Canis lupus familiaris: one gene and its partner. The protein of the gene in region 2 interacts with the protein of the main gene of each other region in a pairwise test. Links are inferred from orthologs where the notes say so. Each region holds a gene or a part of one and is shown on either strand. Other genes may lie near its edges.

Evidence for each region. The genes of interacting proteins can lie anywhere in the genome.
Region 1: the proteins of RBSN (region 2) and EHD1 interact in binary tests that used the Homo sapiens proteins (3 or more experiments, as listed by UniProt). The link is inferred for Canis lupus familiaris from reciprocal best matches to the Homo sapiens genes RBSN and EHD1.

Annotation. Positions count from the first base shown.
Region 1 is NC_049239.1:52,810,880-52,814,455, reverse strand, and holds part of EHD1 (EH domain-containing protein 1), read right to left. Parts: intron 960-3,576; coding exon 547-959; intron 1-546. UniProt on the Homo sapiens protein: ATP- and membrane-binding protein that controls membrane reorganization/tubulation upon ATP hydrolysis. In vitro causes vesiculation of endocytic membranes. Acts in early endocytic membrane fusion and membrane trafficking of recycling endosomes.
Region 2 is NC_049241.1:5,247,563-5,251,138, reverse strand, and holds part of RBSN (rabenosyn-5), read left to right. Parts: intron 1-1,186; coding exon 1,187-1,287; intron 1,288-2,186; coding exon 2,187-2,232; intron 2,233-2,346; coding exon 2,347-2,508; intron 2,509-3,576. UniProt on the Homo sapiens protein: Rab4/Rab5 effector protein acting in early endocytic membrane fusion and membrane trafficking of recycling endosomes. Required for endosome fusion either homotypically or with clathrin coated vesicles.

The sequences.
Region 1 (3,576 bases), on a different chromosome or scaffold from region 2:
CACCCAGGGTTCTTGTGCCCCATCTTTCCACTAGCTCCCTCCTGTCCTGGCTTATGCAGCGTCACCCACCTGAGGCCCCCCAGTTGCCGGCTTCTATGGCATACCATGACAGGACAAATAAACCAAGCTTGGTTTTTCTTTACGTGTTCACTTTCCCGTTGCCACCAATGAGTGCTGGAAGGGCAAAGACTGTGTGTGTCAGTCCCCACTGTGTCCCCAGCACAGGCTGAGGGCTCAACAGGCCTGGGAGGTGAGGACTGGAGTTGCACCCCCGCCTGCACCCCACTTCTCAGGCTGCCCCTGGGCACAGCGCTACCTTCCCGCTGAATGTCTGCGTGCATCAAGAAGACTCAGCTGAGAATCAAGGGCTACACCCATTGGTGCAGAGAGGACTCGTTCAGACACAGCACACACAGGTGTAGCTGTGGGAATGGGTCTTGGGCACCCCAAAAGCCAAAGCAGACCAATCCTAGAGCCCCAAGTGCCAGTCCTGGATCCCCGTGGGCCCCACCCAGCAGTGGGCCCAGCCCCCCACTCCTAGTCTACCTTGGCCAGCCGTGCCCGCTTGATCAGGTCATTGAGCTTCCTGAGGGCAGCATTTCGGGGCAGAGACTGGATGTCTTTAAAGAGGTCCTGTTCCTCCGCCTCAAAGAGCTTGCGATTGTCAGGGATGAGGAGTGGGTGGGACCAGAAGGAGCCGATGTATACTCTGACAACCTCGGGGGTGTTGATGATCTTCCCCAGGGACCACATGAGAGCCCCGTAGACCCGCATCAGCTGCTGGGTCTCAATCTGGTCGGCTTTGTTCAGCACCACACGGATCTTGTCCTCATGGTTCTTGAGGGCCTTGATGACCTCGGAGAACTCGTCAGAGATGTCCAGCTTGTGGGCGTCAAAGAGCAGGATGATGCGGTCGACCCGCTCAGCAAACCACTCCAGGACAGCTGCGAAGTCGTAACCTACGGGAAGAGCAGGGTGAGCTCAGGGGCACCATGGCCAGGCAGCTCTGATGGCTCTCTTCCCGGACCCAAGCTGGTATTTATTTAAATTTCCACCACATACTCAAGGGGTCAGCACAGCACCCTCCTGCTCCCCCGTTTCTGTGCCCACTCGGTACCCTAGCGCATACAGCACCTGGCAAGGAGAGGTGTGCCACAGATAAATAATGCAAAAGAAGTCACAAAGCCCAGGGGCACCTGGGTGGCTCAGTCAGTTGAGCGTCTGCCTTGTGGCTTGGGTCATGATCCCAGGGTCCTGGGATGGAGCCCCACATGGGGTCCCTGCTGAGCGGGGAGTCTGCTTGTTCCATCTCCTGATCCTGCCCCCGCTTGTGCTCACTCACTCTCTCTCAAATAAATAAAATCTTAGAAAGGAAAAAATAAAAGTTGTCACAAAGTCTGAGCCCTAAAGTAGCTCAGACCAGGTCAAGAGTGAAGAGGAGAGCGCAGCAGTGTGGCTCGGCACCGTGTGGCGAGAAGGACAGAGACTTGGGGTCTGCCACCTGCTGGCTGGATGTCCTTACATGACAGGGACAGTAAGGAACAGCCATAACACCTGCAGCTGCTACTCGTGGGGTGCTTGTGCTGGGCCCCCATTTTCCAGGAACCTCATTTATTCTCCACAACAGGGGCTGGCCAACTGCAGCTGGCCCATCACCTGTTCTGTAAATAAGTTGTGTTTTTTTTTGTTTTTTTCTTTTTTTAAAGATTTTATTTATTTATTCATGAGAGACACAGGCAGAGGGAGAAGCAGGCCCCCTGCTGAGCAGGAAGCTGGATGTGGGACTCGATCCCAGGACCACAACCCGAGCCAAAGGCAGATGCTCAACCACTGAGCCACCCAGGTGCCCCCATAAATTAGTTTCATTGGAACAGAGCCACACTCCTCTGTTCAGCTGCTCTTGTCTCAGATAGCAGAGTCCAGTTGTTGTGACACACACCACAGGCCTCCCAGGCCAAAGATATTAACTCTGACCCTTCAGAAACTTTGCTGGCCCCTGCCCTATGACAAGCCAGAAAGTGTGACACACCACTTCCCCTCTCTAGGTCTTAAATGCTTCTATGCTGTTTCCCACCATCCTCTGGAAGCCCTTTTTAGTGGACGTGGCCAACTATAGCACAGACTGCTAACTGGAGCTCTTCCTTTAATAACAGAACAGCCTAGTTCCAGCTGAATTCAGGGCCCCTCCTTTTAAGACCACATTTCCTAGCCTCTCCTGCAGCAGATGAACAAAAGAAGTTTATGTGCCCTTTGCTTTTCTCCCTTCCTGAAGAATGGAATGCAGATGTGATGGTAGGAACTGGAGCAACCACCTTGAGTTCAGAGATGGCCTTGGACTGTTATTTTCCACGTAAATGATCTGATAACTGATTTAAGCCCATGGATTTTTGGGTCTCTCTAACAGCAGTTTAGTTTGTATCCTGTTTTATAATCACAACTCTTAAAATGTTTCTACTTCTCACCACTGCCTCCAGAAGAAGTGATGGTTCTATTTCTCACCTTTTAGGAATAAAAGATGAGGAGAGATAGGAAGACCATGTGATGGCCACAGCCTGAGAGTCTTAGGGAAGCTTGGTTTGAAGGCCCTGAGCTGCCATTTCCTCTCTGGGTAATTCTGGGCAAGCCTCCTCGTCCTTGGGCTCCTCCTCGTTCTTCACCCACTACCCACAGGCCACCTCAAGCATAGGCCAGCCCTCTTAACCAGCACAAATTCATCCCAGAGTGCAGTCAGGCTCCTGAAAGTAAGCCAGAGAAGCTGCTGCTATAGAGAAGAGCCCGAGATGCTGCCCAGAAACGGGACCAGACCAACCTCCTCCCCCTGACAGCCTGCTTCTAGCTCGCATCCCTCACAAAACACGCCACTACTCCTGACCAAACTGGGATGGAGACATACTCTCTAGACCGCGGGTTACAGGAAAGTAGCACGTAGAAGGAGAGAACAAATAAAAGAACAGAGCGACCACAGTGCTGTGAGGAGGGAGGGCAGCCCTCCCCACCCTGCCGGTGAGGAACCTGCTGAGTTGGTCATCAGAGTGGTATTCAGCTGCTCCTGGTCCTGCCAAGCCTCGCAGACTGAAGACAAGTCCACAGGAGAGTCCCTGAGAGGCTGCTTCCACTTGGGCCAGAACTAGGCCCCTCTCACTCACAAGGGCTTTAAGACCAAAGTCAACACTGGGGCATGTCTAGGGGGTGAAGGTCTGCTGGGATGGATAAACCTTCTGGATAAAGCCCCCCAGGTTTAAGTGCTTCAGAGCTGTCTGTGTACCCGAATGCACAGCATTCCAAGCTTCTCCCCACACTTCAGCGCTCAGAAAGAACACAGGCTCTTAAACAAGACAGCTCTAGAGTCAATTCCCGGCACTGGCCACTGACTGCGATCTGAAGTTCTTAACTTCTGAGTTCTCATTTCTACTTCTGTAAAATTTAAATAACAATTCTTCCTCCTATGACCACAGGGAGGGTTAGATCAGGTACCACAGCAGGCTCCTAGCACCGGCCCCACGGCAGGAGGAAGGCTGCTAACTGGCCTAGGACAGCATTACTGGTCAGGAACAGTGACAAAAGTCCAGCCTGGTT
Region 2 (3,576 bases):
ACATAGGCAGAAGGAGAAGCAAGCTCCCTGTGGGGAGCCTGATGCAGGACTCTATCCCAGGACTATTATTAAAAAATAATAATAATAGTAATAATAAAATTTAAGAAATATTCAGGGCAGCCCTGGTGGCTCAGCGGTTTAGCGCCGCCTTCAGCCGGGCCTGATCCTGGAGACATGGGATTGAGTCCCACGTCAGACTCCCTGCATGGAGCCTGCTTCTCCCTCTGCCTATGTCTCTGCCTCTCTCTGTGTCTCTCATGAATAAATAAAATCTTTAAAAATATATATTTAAAAAAATTAAGAAATTTTCAAATCATGGGTGCCTGACTAAGTCAGAAGAGTTTGCAACTGTTCATCTCAGGATTGTGAGTTCGAGCCCTGTGTTGGATATAGAGATGACTTGAAATTTAAAAAAGATTTCAAATCAGTATGTTGTACACCTGACACTAATATAATATAACATGTTAGTTATACTTAAAAAGTAGTATACATATAATAATGAGTTATAGATGAAAGTCAATTTGAGGGACGCCTAGGTGACTTCGTGGTTGAGTGTCTGCCTTTGGCTCAGGTTGTGATCTGTGATCCCAGGGTTGGGATCAAGTCCTACATCAGGCTTCCTGTGGGGAGCCTGCTTCTCCCTCTGCCTAGTCTCTGCCTCTCTCTCTGTGTCATGAATAAATAAATACAATCTTTAAAAAAAAAAAAAAGTCAATTTGAAACATAAAGGAGAAATTTCAGGCATGTGAATTCTTACCAGTTTTTTAATAGTCTGTTTCGTGATTGCCAGAATTAAATTCCTCAGGTTGTTGAGGAAGTCACAATTGTGGAAGGTTAAATGGATGGCAAATTTTAAAAGTTAAGATCTATGGTCATGCCCGAGTGCCTGGGTGCTCTGTTGGTTAAGTGTCTATTTCTTGGTTTAGGCTCAGATCATGATCTCCAAGACCTGGGATTGTGCCCCATGTTGGGCTCCGTGCTCAGCACAGTCTGCTTGGGATTCTGTCCCCCTCTCCCTCTGTTCCTCCCCATGCTTGAGCTCTCTGTTTCTTTCTTAAATAAATAAAGTACAATCTTAAAAATACAAGGTCATCTTTAAAAAAATAAAATTCATTGAGGATAAACAGCAAGGGAGAAGGGCTCCCTCAGAGAAATGACATGTTATTTATCTCATTTCCTGTCCTAGGTGCTGTAAGAAGCCATCTTTCTGACTTCAAAAAACACCGAGCTGCTAGAATTGACCACTATGTTGTTGAAGTCAATAAATTAATAATCAGGTTAGAGAAGGTAAATTTTGTTGTTTTAAAACTTTTTTTTGCTACAAGTATACATTTTCTAGGAGAAAAAAATATTTCTGCAGTGTTTATTGTGTGTGTTGTATATATTTGACACTGGCAGAGAAATGCCCCACCTCAAGCCCACTTAGAGAGGTACAGAGGACATGATTGACAGTTCTAGCCTGGGCCTGTTTTACTGTAGGAGATGGCCCATGTTGATAGACTTGCCACATATCCAGATTGCCTTATCCTTTCTCTGAAGCCCCCTTGGCTGCCAGAAAACCTTTCTACCTTCAGGTTATTTCCTCTTTTAAGTGTCTAAAGTATAGTCATGCAGTGGGGGCATAGTGTGTGATATCGATAACAAACAGAAGCTGGTAACAAGGTCTGTGAGGAGTACTCAGCCAGGCCAGCATTCAGTATGGGAACATCTGGACTGGGCCTTCTCATCCTGTGGTACCAGGGTGTGTCTTTTAACACCTACAATCACTCTGTTGTACTTTGACCCTAGAAATGCTTATTGTGTATAACCTGGATTGTATGGTGGGCATGGTAGCAATTGCAAGTGTAGAGTAGAAATATGTGGCCAGTTTCATTGTCCATGAGGACTGTGGAGAGTCGGGAGTTCCCCATTGCTCTCAGTTAGCCACACCCACCATATCCTTGCCTACCCCTGGTTATTGCTTAAATGGAGAACTGACAATAGAGGGATTGAAATCAGATCAGGGGAAGGGAACTGCCCTCTATATGAGAAGCTAATACTCTGTCCAATGTGAATTTGCGGGGTTGGGGATGACAGATGATACTTGAGAAATGAAGATGTGAGAATTTTTGCTTGATGCCTCTTGCCTGTGGAATATGTATACATCACCTGTTTAATTCTATTTGGCATTGTTTTCTCCTTGTCAGCTCACTGCATTTGACAGGACAAATACTGAGTCTGCTAAGATACGAGGTAACTCTAGAATTTTGCTCACATTCATTCTAATTATCTTTCTCCCTGACCAAACCTCTTTCTAAAATGGCTAGGTTTTCTGTTTGTTTGATTTTTGTTTTGTTCTTCCCAAAGCAATAGAAAAGTCCGTGGTGCCTTGGGTCAATGACCAGGATGTCCCTTTCTGTCCAGACTGCGGGAATAAGTTCAGCATCCGTAACCGCCGCCACCACTGCCGCCTCTGCGGGTCAATTATGTGCAAGAAGTGTATGGAGCTCATCAGCCTCCCTTTTGCAAGTAGGTAACATGGAGGTGGGGCTGTGGATCCTGATCTATTCTTGTGACTAGCTTGTTTGCTAATCACCACCAGGTGATCTTTTGAATGTTTTTGTTTAAGTAACTTTCCCTTGGGATCTTCATCCATTCATTTGTTGATTCCATGAAGCCTGCTATAGGCCAGGCATGATGCTAGGGTCCAGGGATACAGTGGTAGATAATAAGGGCAGGCAAATTTTTTCTGCCCTTATCAGGCAGAAAAAGATAGTAAATATTTAAGCTTTATGGGCTACAGTGGTCTCTGTGACATTTCTTCTTTTTTTAAATGATTATTTGTTTGTTTGTTTATTTAAAGATTTTATTTATTTATTCATGAGAGACATAGAGGCAGAGACACAGGCAGAGGGAGAAGCAGGCTCCATGTAGGGAGCCTGACGTGGGACTCCATCCAGGGACTCCAGGATCATGCCCTGGGCTGAAGGCAGGCACTAAACTGCTGAGCCACCCAGGGATCCCCTTTAAATGATCTTTTAAAAATATTTTTTTAAGGGCAGCCTGGGTGGCTCAGTGGTTTAGCGCCGCCTTCAGCCCAGGGCCTGATCCTGGAGACCTGGGATCAAGTCCCACGTCAGACTCCCTGCATGGGGCCTGCTTCTCCCTCTGCCTGTGTCTCTGCCTCTCTCTCTTTCTCTCTCTATGTGTCTCTCATGAATAAATAAATAAAATCTTAAAAAATTTTTTTAAATCTTTTTAAACTTTTTTAAATAAAAGTATTTAAATAACCTTTTAAAAATCATACTTAGTTCTGGGGCCATATAAAAGCAAGCTGGACTTGGTTTATAGGTCATGTCTGCTCACCTCTGGTTTATAAGGCATTATTCATTCTCCCAAAGGGTCTAGCATCTAGCCGAGGATACAGACCTAGAAACATATTATGGCTTTATAAAGAGATAAGCACTATGAGAGAAGTTGCATCAGATACCCAGGAGAGCTGACCAGATCGTTGTCAGCTGTGCTTGGAAGTGGCAGCTGAGACTTTTGAGGATATTATAACAGAGTCTTAAGAAATGAGCAGCAGGAAAAAAAAAA